Linked DNA regions of Styela clava. The protein of the gene in region 1 interacts with the protein of each later gene in a biochemical or structural test. Links are inferred from orthologs where the notes say so. Each region holds a gene or a part of one and is shown in the gene's direction. Other genes may lie near its edges.

What was found.
Region 2: of the proteins of serine/threonine-protein kinase greatwall-like (region 1) and cAMP-regulated phosphoprotein 19-A-like, one has a biochemical effect on the other in vitro, tested with the Drosophila melanogaster proteins (2 studies listed by BioGRID). The link is inferred for Styela clava from reciprocal best matches to the Drosophila melanogaster genes gwl and endos.

Annotation. Positions count from the first base shown.
Region 1 is NC_135257.1:23,351,143-23,358,639, forward strand, and holds the start of serine/threonine-protein kinase greatwall-like, read left to right. Parts: upstream 1-4,316; 5' UTR 4,317-4,378; coding exon 4,379-4,558; intron 4,559-5,492; coding exon 5,493-5,630; intron 5,631-7,293; coding exon 7,294-7,433; intron 7,434-7,497.
Region 2 is NC_135252.1:10,594,011-10,601,656, forward strand, and holds cAMP-regulated phosphoprotein 19-A-like, read left to right. Parts: upstream 1-4,405; 5' UTR 4,406-4,544; coding exon 4,545-4,865; 3' UTR 4,866-7,218; downstream 7,219-7,646. Other genes in the region: dihydrolipoyl dehydrogenase, mitochondrial-like, read left to right, coding at 7,273-7,646.

The DNA of each region.
Region 1 (7,497 bases):
TATGCATATGTAGGCCTACAGTATATAAATTTTAAATAAAAATGTTTTTGCTATGTGGCTGTGAGGCAACAATACGAACTTTGAGGGTTATCAGGGGCAGTTGCCATGATATGTCATGATGAATCTGAATACCATGAGTTCAACTAGTAATTGAGTATCCAAAGAATTGCAAATACGAAACAACAAAATTATAATTAAAGGATGTACGAGCCAAATAAAAACTTTGAGTAAGTTTAAAACGTACAGACAAAATATTTGTGGATAATATGAATGTTATAGACTATAGAGGGACACATGCTTGCTTACACGTAAAGTAAGATATTATTTTCTCCTTGTTAACTGTTTATTGCTATGACTTATTTATTCATCTCTTTCCTAATTCATCGCACTATCTTTAACTTTATTCAACACGACGTATTGGAAAAAATAAATGTATATCCTATTATTGGACCTTTGTTCGTCATCCGCTTCTCAAGTCCCTAAACACGGTGGTGGCGCTGAGACGAGTCATGTTGGGCCAAGTTTATTTTTTCAACCAGTAAATAAAAAAAATCAATCATACACCAATTGCGTAAAAATTTCACATTTTTTCTGAGAACGGAAAGTCGTGGGGAACCAAACTGGTTATCGATCATTGGCATACAAGGTTTTAATAATCTAATTAGGGATGGGACGAGTCCGGCATTACAGAGATTCGACGAATCCGAGTAATAGGTCAAGGACTCGAATCGAATCTGCCGAGTCCGTGATGTCATAACAGAAAAGCAGAAAACACGTTTTTGACCATGCTACAGCATTGTGCGCTCACAAATATACGTCGTAGCTCATATTTTTTGCTTAATGGTTTCGCAGATAGCTGTTGAATCATTTTAAAAATATATTTCCCTCTTTTTGGCGGCCATAATACAAACGTAAACGTGGGTTAATGTGCGCCTTGGCTGTGAACTGGATTTCTAGCCCACCACCTTGCGTCAATTCTGATCGGCTATTCAGATATTCTTACATGTTAATAAGAAAAATAAAAAGCTTTTGACTACAATGTTTTCCCATAATTCCAGATATTTCTAGCCGGGAATTTAGTATGTCACGTGCGCATATAGTAGAGAAATGACACTCGTCGTCAATACATTGTGGTACATCTGCTTGCAATTTAGTAGTTCATGTAAACGTTCTAAAACTCTCCATGCTTCCCACTGCCTTTTTAGCGAAAGGATTGCCCGTAATAAACTCGATTTAAAATTAAAAGAAGTATTGATGAGATTCCCCATTGGGTTGATCCAGGGCATGTTTCATTTTTACGCGAATCAAAAACTCAAAAATATTGCGCTAACACATATTTTATTGTGTATACCGGAAACGATAGATAGTTTGAAGGCGACTGGCGCAACATCATTCTTATAAGCGATCAATAGTTTTTAACTTACGTTATATTATCCGAGTCCGGATTCGAATCCCGGCCCATCCCTAGTTCTAATACGTGATAAGGAAAATTAGGAATTTTAGATTTTCGAAACTGCTGTTATTATTGGTGACTATATAAATTTTGCGAAATATCCAACTTAATTAATAGAGATTGTTATGGTACTAGTGATTATATTGAACAGGTACAATATCAACGGATGGACGAGGACTCGATAGTTTTTCGCCATTCGTCAATTAGGAAATTATTGTATGTCTGTTTAATTTATTGACATTTTTTTCAATATTAAATATGATATATTATATATATAATATACAGGCATATATTTTTGTTCAATTATACCAGTACAATGTTTCAAGCGCAGCGTAATTAATCGTGCGCGACATATAACTATCTGGCAACTATCCTTTTTCGCTTTGTTGTGATGTTGAGGCGGCACTTTTGAATTTTTTAATCAAGGTCGGATTCGCAGATTTGCTTCTCAGATTAAGTGTTTATTTTGAATTGTTTATGAGTTGGGAATGGCATGCAGTTATAGCATGAAGTGTTCAGGATTTGTTTTAAGGGTGAGTAAACCCAACTAGGCTTTATATTTCAGGGATATAGACTAAGTTAGATACAGAAGTTATGAAGTCTTGAATAGGATTTAGGATAGGATTTACATATTTATCCCGGGGGAGAGGAAAGCCGATAAGACGGCTTATCCATATGGCGAACCACGGCCTCTCGTCCGGTTACCATTCCAAGTCGGGTATGGGATTAGTTTTTACTGTATTGTTTGTTTTCGGAAGCATGGACTTGGTGGTGGAGGAAGCCGTAACCGACCAGCGGTTACGTGAACCACCCAACGACGGCGAGGAGTCCAGCAATCCTCTCGCACATAACCATCCCTGCATGGGATTCGAACCTGCGAACCCACGCAGAGTAATTAGAGGTGCGGTGGCGAGCGTATTCCTAACGCTTAGCCCGTTGAGCCACACCGCGCGCCATCTGCCGTCTCGACTTCAGTTACGGTACCGTAGTCCTGTAGTCGGTCAGTCATTCATCATGATTCATGTGTGCTGCGGTGCTGGTGTATACCGTACCCGTATGCTCTTTTTCATCTTTTTTGTATCAATACCAGATAACCCAGCTTAAAATAAATTATCTTACATTGCCACAAAACCATGTTTCCATTCTATGCTTACGAAAAAAATTCCGGTACCATACTGTACGTAACTGGCTCATACCCCACATTCCATAGGTCTGTAGGTACGGTACCCGACATGAACTGGTACGGTAACTGGACGAGAGGCCCTGGCTCGCCATATAACTGTATAATTAAGTTGCCTTTTCGCTGGGATGAATACCGGTACTGCAGTACAGCAGTAGGGTGGTGTAGCCAGTCTGCGGACGATTTCTTCCAAACCGCTATAAAACAAAAACCAATATTTCTAACCCGTTAATTTTTTCACCGTAGGTGCATTGGCATTTATTCTACACGTTAAACCTCGAGTTAAAGCTATACAAACCGACAAAGTACGACACTCTGAAGACGTATTTGCGACCGAACGACCAGTGTGCGACCACGCATTTCAGGCCTTGAACATCGTTTCTGCTGCGTGGAGACTAGGGCATACGCAGCCATGCGTGAAAAAAAAAGCTTCTAATTGCATTTCTGACCGTGATATATTTTAAGAACACGGTTATTTCGAACAAAACTTGTCAAATTATAAACAAAGCACCACATCACAGCAATCAAACAGACAAAAACACGGTGGTCGCAAATTGGTCGACGAAGATATTATCGACGTCTTGGAAATGTGCATCCCTTTATTCCCCCTCCTTTAAATGTAGAAACGCGAAACTTTAAAGATGGTTAAAAGAAACACAACTCTACCCACCTGCCAAGTTTCATTTCTTTATCTCTTATATTTGTAAGGATTTTCAAGCTTTTTTAAAGGAACAATGGGTAGTTGGCGACATGAAAAATGGTTCGTTTTTTTTAGTGTAATTTCGCAGAACTACGGGGGATAAGTGAACGATAACGTGTGAGAAATATCGTCGCGGTTCTTTAATTTTTTCCTTATTAAATTAATCGATGAAGTTGATGGTCGCAAATAGGTCGTGGCCGCAAAGTGGGTAGGCCACCCTATATGTAAATCCCATGCTATTCCTGTATTCTGCTATTGCTTGAATGTCTAAAGCTGTAATAAGTTCATAAGTATAAGCCTTATTTTTGAGCCAAAAAGATTCTCACAAAATGTGTATGTCTAGTTTATATTTTTAAAGTAATCGGAAGCATTTAGAAAATAGGTTTTTACAAGGGTGTGATTTTGTTATTTTTTGCACAGCTTTTTCATATTTTAGCATTGAAAAATTAAATATACCTTATTACAGTATGGTAGGGCACACTATCCAAATTCCAAAATTTGGATCAATAAAACAAACACCCCATGTGTCACACAAACGAGGGGCGTCTGGCATGACGGCAGATGCGTCATATTGCAACACGCTTGTCTCAATAATTAAGTATTCTAAATAAATCGTGGCCGTCACATGATCAGAATCCTGTTTTTTGCTAAAAACTCTCGAATGCCACAGTAGAAAATTTTTTTCTTCTGTAAATTGGATTTTTTTTCGAAAGGAATTCAATGATGACGTTTTTAGATTGCGCTTCTTTGTATTTTTTTGCGCAACTTCATTTTACTGTATTAATAAACTAACAAACTACACCAACTACAGATGCCTAAAGGAGTGCCTGATTTTGGAAGAAACTACTGACGATGCATTTTGTTTGCGATGAATTCATTGTGATTTGTGAATCCTAGAAATATAGTTGTAATATAGTTGCACCAATGACTCTTTGAGAGCTATTTTCCCATATTTGACTTTCAATTTTATCAAATTATTTCCAGACATTAACAGTTTAGCCTGTCATGCTCCAGTGGTTTTTGTCGAGATTCCATTTCGATTATCATGGTTGACATAAAAGAGAACACTGGCGCATCCATATGTGGAGAGTCCATGGATATGTCGGCTGCCCCTAAACCGCCCGATGTCAACGACTTTGTTATTTTAAAACCAATAAGTCGAGGAGCATTTGGTTGCGTACTGCTTGGAAAAAGAAAAACCAACAGCAAGCTATATGCTATAAAGGTGAATCTTTGCTTAGATTGTTACTTATCGATTTTAATCGGTAAGTCTGTTTGTCTGTCTGTATGTCTGTCTGTTAGATGCATGCGACATCTCACGAAAGCGAGATTGAATCTGCTCCAGATTTTGCATGTGCAATCATAATGTCGGACCAGGAGCCTATTGATTTTGGATGAATTATGTCGTATAATTAGCGAGTTATTAATCTGTTTTGGGGGATCCCCTAACTTTCAATCGATAAGTCTTCGGTCTCTGACCGATATTCTCGTTATATTTCTTGTAGTCTCAATAATATAATTTCAACGACTATCTTTCTTTAGTCCCCTTCATTATGCAGAAAGTTTTCAGCTAATGAGTCAACTTAACGAGTAAGCTGTGGCCAATTTTTAGCATTAAAAATAAAGGCTTTTCCATATTACAAAGTTTTCATCCTTAATAAAGTCACTAAAAAGCAATTAATTTTTTTTTTTAAAGTTTTTGCTCCAAATTTTGCTGTTGTTGATAATTCACAGCATATTTTCATACCCCACTCTGTATAATTTCATTTCACTTATAATTGGAATTTTTCTCGCATTGCAGTCTCCATATTAGTCATTACTTATCGATTTTGATTACCGTATGTTGATAGGTATTTGTCTGTTTGTTTGTCTGTTAGACACTTTCGTATGTTACGCGATATCTCACGAAAGCGAAGATGAATCTGCTTCAAATTTTGCATGTGCATTCATCATATCTCGGATCAGAAGCCTAATGATTCTGGATGAATTATGTCATATAATTAGCGAGTCATTAATTAATTAGTGATGGGGCACGCAGTGTCGCTGTTGAGTCAGAGCGAAGGATACACGCCACTAGATCGATAAGTCGGCGGTCTCTGATCGCTATCTCGTTTGACTATTAACATGTATTTGAGCATTTCTCTCTTGTTTCAACACAGGTTATGAAGAAGAGCAACATGGTCCGTAAAAACATGACGAAGAACGTCGTTTGTGAGCGCAACGCCCTCGCTTTGAGCAAGAGTCCGTTTATTGTACACTTGTACTATTCATTAGAGACTCATGATGACATTTATCTGGTAAATAATTTTGCAGAACTTTCATTCTTTTTTTCCTCAACTTAAAGCATTGGACTTGATATGTAGGCATTGCAGTTGAAAAAATCTTGGATATGGATACAAGGTGTAATGAATTGGATAGGCGGTGCCGAATCTGCCGATTCCAATCCTTCCGAATAAAGTAGCTCCATACCTAGGAATAACCAAAGCGTATATATGATACAAGCGAGGCAACGCTCCGACAATGGACGCCATCTTGTGCCTATTGTTCTCGGCCATCCAACACGACGCCTTATGAGAAGTTTGCACACAATCATTGAAACATACCTATTATTTTCACTAATATTTTAGGTAGAAAAATTTAGAAGGTCGCGTTTTGAAGGAGAATCTTAGCCTAACACGTTGATATTCTTCCATGTTTGCCAAATTACATTTACAGTACATTAAATTGTCCTTGAAGACAAGTATACCAGTTCCGAGTTGCTTCTGAAGTAAGTTGGCATTTCCAATCGTCATAATCAACCATTTGACAATTCCCATGCCTAGGAACATCACAGATGAAAAGCTGTATTTATTCGTCGAAATTACCGGCCGACTCAACTTCGCTTCAATGGCTGTTTCTATTTTCTGGTTTACATTTTTCGTCTGTCAAGCTCCAAGCTGCGCTAGAAGAACAAATGACATTGTATGATTGTTGCGAAGACATTTTACAGCGTCAAATTGGTGTATCACTATAAAATCTTTGAAAAAATGACCAAAAATGGTTCTACGTTGTGTTTGTGGCCAAATTTAACCCATTAGATAGTTTTTTATTCCTAATTGCGTTATATATTTAAGTAGCATATAGCTTAAAGTTCAAAACCCACCCTTCGGCTTCATTCTAGCCCTTATGACAGCTGATTTATTCGATTTGGTACAACAACACGAAGAAAATTTCTCATAAGACTCCATTGTTTCGTGTTTCCCAAATATGGCACAAGATGGGGTCCATGAACTTGTTTAACATAAACAAGTTGGTTGCCGGCCATTGGGAATAACTGCTTACATAGAGCTGTGTTTAAAAATCATTGGTACAAATCCTAGAGTGTAATAAATCGGATAGGCAGTAGTATGGAATCAGAAAGAGTCCAATCCTTCTAAATGAAGTAGCTCCATGCCTAGGAACAACTGCTCACCCAGAGCCATGTTTCGGTGAAAGGAATGAAAGCTTCATGTAAAAATATGTACACATCTCAATTTAAGCTGATGACAGTAGGCTATATCAGGGTGTCTATCGGTATCTTTGGGCTCAATGACTGAGATTTAAATGTGTTGGTATTGCTGACTACATGGACCACTGCTTGTCCGATGAGAAACGTCCTGCAAAGGTGGTTTCCGCTTTCTGTACCTAATTTTAGCAATTCGGAAATTAGCTGAAAAACGATTCGAATAATTTGCGATTTGATTTCGAATATTTGGTTCGCTTGGACATCCCTAATTGCTGACTACATTGACTAGTTATTATTATGGGGCAATGCCAATGTGATCTTTTCGAAAATACTAGCTACATCAGTGCCTGCCTACCCGTGATCTTATTTGAACCAAAATATGTGAATTACCGGTAAGCGTTATTTTGGAAAATCCTACTCAAGTTACATTGGAAATCTTTGTGTGAGCAAATAAGTCAAGAAATGTTGCTTTTCAGATCATGGAGTACGTGATTGGGGGGGATGTAAAAAGTTTAATTAGCGTTCTTGGATATTTTGATGAAGAGATGGCTGTTCTGTACATCGCGGAAGCTACGCTGGCTTTGGAATATCTGCATAACCATGGGATAGTGCATAGGTGAGTGAATGAATAGGTGTAAATATGGGAAGGATGATCGGAATAACCGGAATTGTGAAGTCCG
Region 2 (7,646 bases), on another chromosome or scaffold:
GTATCCTTTCAATTCATCATTTTGCAAAAAAAAAACGTACCGACCGTTCCGTAAATTTGGAAACGTCAAACCAGATTAGGTATTTAAAATAAATTTCCCAGATTTACACTCGGCATGCTTGGTGGCATGTCATTAGCCACTTCTTGCATTACCAAACCTAAACTTGCTCAAAATTAAATGTTAAAATGACTTTTAGGCGTTTCATTGTGAAAAAGGCGATTTTAGGTCGTTAAAACACTCTATTTATGTAAATAGCATGGATTTAAAAATGACCAAAAGTTTTTCCAAAAGCTGGTATGAGTTACTTGTATGGAAAACACTCATTAAGTTGTAACCGGATAAGAAATGTCATGTCCTACTCCCTTTAAAGCACGGACTCGTTCACGAATTGTTGCTTCTATTATCATCGAAAATGATTACAATTGTTAAATTTTGAAGCATTTGGGCAGTAATAATTAAGCCTCAAGGTATGACATAATCGAAATCATTAAGCGAAGTGCTGAATTTGCAAATTCCGTAAAGAAAATTGAGCATTACTCAGTAAGTATTTTAGCTATAATAACCATCGGGGTGTTGTTTTGTTGAAAAAAAAACGATAAAACTTGAAGGAATTAGGTATAATTAGAGTCTGACCCTCTATTAGGCACAAAGGCCTAGAAATGCCTTTATTGCCAATTTATTTAATCGCTATTTTAAATCAACATGCAGGATTCACGCAAACGTAAATTTGCTAGGTTTATCTATCTAATACTAAAATAACACGGACACCATAGAAAAGCATGAGAAACTCAAATATCATTATAATAAATATCTACATTTCGGTTACCGTTCACTTTAAACATGCAGGGTTAATTTACAAGCGGTGATAAGGAAGATCGAATCCAAGGCAGAGGATAAAACTCAGAATAGAATTAATTTGGTTCCAAAATTAGTCCTTAAATGTATTCAACAGCTGTCGCTGATGTGAACGCAAGGGTATACTAGAAATATGAAATTTTGATATTCAGCGACCGCTTATTCTTGCAAAACCGAGAAAGGGCGGAAATATAGAATACCAACTTTAGGATATCGCCGCCAAAACGATCGCGGTGACAAAGACAATCAGCAATTATGATAAAATTACCCATTAAAAAACGCTTTATTGCCGACTTTTTAATGTTTCTATTAATTTCCAAACGGAGTATCGACCTCCGAAGTTCTGGATCCCTGTTATGTATAAAAAAAATATTCAAATTATTCGATTCGAAAAAAATTCCATTTTGCCCACCCTAGCCGAACCGCTATTTATTTAGGCTTTGATTTCTGATAAGTTTTCAAAGCGGGTCGTAATCGTTGAGGATGTAAGGTGCAGTAGCTGCTTGAGATAATCGCCACATTTTTCGAGACTATTTTCGATTACTGGAACAAAATTAAAATGCTATAGAAATTAAAATAATCATCGAGTTATTTGATTTATACATAAGATCTGGAAATGCGACAAAAACTGAAAATCCACGAAAGCAAGCCAATGATTACAGCCATGTCTAAAAATCTTTCCAAGTGAAAAGTGTCCGATTGGCCGCGAAAACGCTCACTGTTGCGTCACTATTGCATCTTATAGGTTAGTCAACACTACGCAAATAAACACGGGGAAATCCATTCGACTAACTAATAGACTTCAGCATTTTAATTTCGAGTCAATGATTAGTTTTCAATGAAAAATTTCCTTTGAAAATAATTAATTTTTAAAACATTTACGGGAGCCGCAGGAAAGGTTGTTGAGAGCCGCATGCGGCTCTCAAACCCTAGTTTGAGAATCACTGATTTAGAGGGTCTTACTCGCGCTATTTTGCGCTCTTTGCGGTGTTTCGCGCTGTATTCAGTAAGTAGTAAGACCGGCTAAAAACACGCGAATCCTATTCTCTCGCGGGGGTGGGGACATGTATGGCTCATAGCTCACGATCTCTCCAGACAAAAAATTAATTAAAAAGTAGTATTCCAGCTTAACTTTTAAAACATTCTGAACCATATCAAAAAGGTAAATATATCGGAAATATCGGCCTTAATCTAATCGATACCGATACATGGCCGATATAAGTATATAAGTATAAGTTTATTTCGACTCCATAATCAGCATAACAATACATTTGACAGATAAAAACAAATAAATAAAATCTGATTATGAAATCAGGGGAGCAAACAAAACCTTAGATAAGGTTTATAACGTACAAAATATAAGATGAAAGGTTTTGCCAAGAGGAAGTGGTACGTGTTTACTCACCTAAAATTATCAAGTTATTTCACACACGCTCACATGCACCCACCAGCCACACACACACACAACCACTGAGAAGTTATTTAAGTAAGAATGAAACGCGATAAATTTAGGGTATACTATACAGTAAACAAAAAAATAAATAAATAAATACTAGAAAAGAAAATTATCTGCCACACCATATTGATATTTTTGTAATGGTTGCCATTGCCAAATTGATCGATCTTCTAATCGTTAATTAGGTATATAAAAGGAAGATACTATTGAAAACGATACGAACGATACCGAAAAATGGCCGATATTGCCGATACATCGGTGCATCTCTAATCGGTACCGGTACCGTACATCTCTGGTGAGAGGGAGTTTGCACTTTTTTGTGGCTTTTGAGCCAGACCACGGAGAAATTGGGTCCAGGCCACGGTCCACGGAGAAAATCACCCCTGTTGTCTCTGGTGGTACTATAACTGTATAACGGTACCGGTACTGACAGACTAATGTGCCTGTCAGAGGCATAGGCAGATAGGCTTGTGTCGGTACGGTAGTCTGGTAGTGGCAATTTGGCCTTTGGGAAAGCAATTGGGGTCTAGTATAGTTTAGTACCACAAGTACTTCCGGTGGGCGTAGCATAACGAATTTTGGGGTCTGGTATAGTTTAGTAGCACATCCACTTCTAGTTAGCCTGGCTCAACAATTTTTGCATATGTCATTCCTAACCCTCACCTGACTATGTCACCAAAACAGTACGTCACTACGACGCCACAGTGGCGTAATAAACGGAATACCTAATCTAGCAAGCTATTTCTCTCGTTTTCTCGTCGCAACGATCCCGATATGAGAGAGACCGCTGGCGTTAGTGAGTTCGGTATTGTCGGTGCAGATGCCATTTCGGGCGATAGTAGCTATACTTGACAAGCTCTATGACGGGATTGTGACGACGTAGTGACGTAATTTTTGGATGATACCGGTATAGTCAGGTGAGGGTTAGAAATAACATATCCAAAATTCGTTATGCTACGCCAAACGGAAGTACTTGTGGTACTAAACTATACTAGACCCGAATTTTGCATATGCTATTCCGAACCCCCACCTGACTATGCCATCCAAAAATTACCTCACTACGACGTCACCATCACGTCATTGGGATTGCCAAAGTATAATTAGGGTCGCCCGAAATGTCATCTGCGCCGCCGATAACGAACTTGCTAAAGCCGGCGATGTCTCTCCTATCCTGATCGTTGTGACGAGAAATTGTTTGCTCGATTTTGGGTGATCGTGTGCGCGTTTTGGACGACCACCCGCATACTTCGGTGGGTCTTATTACGCCACTGTGACATCGAAATGACGTAATTTTCGGTGACGTAGTCAGGTAGGGGTTGGGATTGACATATGCAAAAATTGTTGAGCCAGGTCAACTAGAAGTACATGTGGTACTAAACTATACCAGACCCACAAGGGTTTCGTGCAGTTTCGTACCTAACGTACCGGTACTTCTAGTGGGCGTAGCATAACAATTTTTTGATATGTCAATCCTATCCCCCATCTGACTACGCCATCCAAAAATTACGTCACTACGACATCACAATCACGTCATAGAGCTTGCCAAATATACGTACGATCGCCCGAAACGCCATTGGCGCCGGCGCTAAAGAACTGACTGACGCTATCGATCTTCCTCGGATGGCAGTTCATATAGTTTGAAGGGCTCTATTACGTCACTGTGACGTCGTAATGATGTAATTTTTGGATGGTGTAGTCAGGTGGCGGTTAGGATTGATACGTGAAAAATTTGTCATGCTACGCCCACTAGAAGTATGTTAGGTATGAAACTACATGAGACCCCCCCCCCTAACGCCACTCTCACGTTAGCGAAATCCTACATAAAAATATACGATGTCATAAAAGTGTGTTCCCACTTTGCGAAGTAGGCCTATTTCTAATCAATAGCCACGGAAACCCTAACCCTAACAAAATTTTAGACCTCATTTGCTTATTGCAATTAAAAATATTTTTTATTCATAAATTTTATAATGAAACACTTTTTAAGACATCGTATTTTTGAGCAGCAGGATTTCGCTAGCGTGACAGAGGTCCCCTAACAATAATAACAGCAGTTTAGGACTGCTGCGTTATACTAGGACAGTGTTTCCCAACCCGAGTCCGCGGTCTCAAATGAGTCCGCTGAGCATTTGAATGGCATTACTGCATTAATTTTATCATTGGGTATTTTAGTTAATTAGCATAACTACTGATAATCCTGTGCGGTAAACCATATATTATCTAGAATTCCAATATGTCAGAAGGACAGCAAGAAACTGGTGATTTTAAGAAACCAGCGACACCCCCTGTTTCAGTTGAAAAACAGCAAGAGGCAATGTTGATGACGAAATACAAAGATCTTCCACCTAAAAAAGGAGGATTTCTGCAACAACGCCTCGGTAGTCAAAAGAAATTTTTTGATTCTGGTGACTACAACATGGCAAAAGCAAAAATGGGAGGCAAGAAGATACCAGCACAAGTCGAACCTAAAGAAGTAACAGGGGATCACATGCCAACTCCTGACGAACTGCCTCAAGTACGAAAACCTTCACAGAGCAAGTTAGCAATGCACTGACTTTTACCTGGTGGAACACTGGAAAGACTATTGTGATTCTTTTCAGAATCTCTTACTTTTTATTTATCACTATTTGCAGATTTGCATCACAATTACATGGCAAGCTTGTCCTCAATATGTTACTCTTTGCACACAGAGGTATTGAGTAATGTGATTGTGTTCGTAACACAGAATTGCAAACTAAGATGTAAATTAGGGATCCTATTATGATGTAACATGCTTGCCTCAGGAAAATATGTTATATACATTGAATTGTATATTTTGAAGTTTATTTCTGCCTTCCATTGTTGCTTTCTCTGTGTGTGCAAGTATGATGTTTTTAGGTAGATGACTGCCTTCTACAAAATCAGGTATACCTTTTGGTATCATATCCTAGAATTTATTTTTGATGGATGATATATTGATATGCTCATTTAGAAATAGTGTTATAACGGGAATAATAATAGTCGTTCATCTGAATTTCCATGTTCCGCAATTGCAAAACTTATTGGATTCACTGCTGTGAAGTTCCAACTGATTTGTTTTGTTTTAAAGCATTTGAATAATCTAAGTTGATATATTTCTAGCGGAATCACTATTATTTGTCTTATATGTATATCACACTGTCGAAATGCCTTTTCGAATTTAGAAATGTGAATGGTTTTTAATTTAAAAAAAAAACAATTTTTTCAAACCTTCTTGTGTGTGATTTGAATTGATGGTAATGATATCCTGAAATACAAGGAAAACAACATTTATATGTTTGGCTGCTCGCAAAAGCATATCATAGTCATATTGTAAAGAATAAAAAAAATAGATATAAGTGCGTGTAGTAGAAGGAAGAAATCAATATATGGCAACATAAACTTTTTTCATTTTTATTTGACATGATTTTGTAGTTCTTTTTGTTCGGTAGTGGTATTGGGACTTTTCACCATGGCTTTCTTTATTTTCCCTATCGGATGATTATAATTGTTTGCAATGTTTGAGGAAAACAATTTCTTTTTGTTCTGGTTTAATAATTTCGTTCATGTTTGTATTATTTTTGTAACAGAAGTAGAATAAAATACTTTTTATGATCTGTGTAACCGGTAATATTATGTTCCTCACTCCAATTTCATCAAGCAGTTAAGAATTATTTTTGCATCCGACTCTGTGGAACAAGTTATATACTCTGACAAGAGTAGAATGTTGACAGTCATGTATTTATATTTAGTGAAAACTATAATTGCTAATAACGTCATTCAATGAGTGAGTTTTCTAATTACCGCAAATGGCAATGTTTAATGTATTTGCATCAGGAATCTTTATGGTTATAATTTGTGGTATCCCCTTGAGAATGAATTTCTGACTTTATGAGAAGCTATGATATATGTTGGTGTTGTCTTCATTTTCCTATGTACATTATTTCATTCACTTTATTATTATGTTGAGATGCTTTATATTTGGCTTCCCAAAAACTTTAAAATTTCATTTTAAACAACTATTCTTAAGCGAAAGTAGTATTTAGAAAATTTGTGTATATTTATTAAATTCTGTCATATTATTGACCTGCTGAAAAACTTTTCTGAAATTGAGATATTTCTAATTATGTTGTGTGGTTCGTGATTCAATATAGATTGAATAGATATAGATACATTGTTTTGAGATCTTATTTGTTCACTGAAACGAAAGCAGAAATACATACTTATGTGTCGAATACTTGTTTGTTTACCCAGTTGTTCTTTTTTTATTATAACATTCTTCTTTTTGATTGTTTTCTTCTTGTTTTCTCTGGTTTATAAATGCAGCTACTTCGGCATTTTTTCCACATAAATATGCTCATACGAGTTTGAGTTCTCTGTAATTCATTTTCTTGTTGAATGTGCTGAATTTTGCCATTGTTCATCAAATCATGATATCGGCAAATTTTTGTGAGAAATTTATTATAAATCCTGATCTTTCTGAAAATGCAAAATTTCAACTGCATAACTTAGATTTGGATTTTCCAAAATATAAAAACATCTTTTCAATTGTCGATTGTTTTTTCAAATTTTGTAAACTTGTAATATTGGTCACTTTATTTTCATTTATAAATAGCCTGTTGTGGCAGAAAATTTTTCCACTTTTTGTATCTTATGCCCTATTTGTCAATTCATTGTGTAAAATGTGAAACTTGGAAAACTTTCCTATTGCTCTGAAGATATTTTTGAAGGCTGTATTGTACAAAATTGAATTAGTATTTACATTCAGTGGTGGCAAATTTGTGCCAGCGGCTGCTTTGATTTGATAGGTCCTGTGTTTTAACTTCACAAACTTCTTTCTGATATAAATGGCTAATTATAAATGACACAGATTTAATTATTTCTGCATTTGAATTGTCCTTTTTTGCAGATTTTTATGCTGTACTTATTTAGTAATCTAATTTATTGTTTATATTTAAGCCAAAATGTTCAATTTAAAACTGAATTCTGCATTAGCTCGTAGACTTTCGAAAGGTTCCTCACTTGGTTTCAATTGCTTGAATGCCAGGACAAATGCAACGGCCACTCATGATGCCGATTTGACAGTGATAGGATCTGGACCAGGCGGTTATGTCGCTGCTATCAAAGCTGCCCAGCTAGGAATGAAAACTGTTTGCGTAGAAAAGAGTCCAACCCTAGGTGGGACATGTTTGAATGTTGGGTGTATACCATCGAAAGCTCTTCTAAATAATTCTCATTTGTACCATCTTGCACATGGAAAAGATTTTGAATCCAGGGGGATTGAAGTTTCCAATGTTTCTGTTAATCTGGAAAAAATGATGGGACAAAAATCATCTGC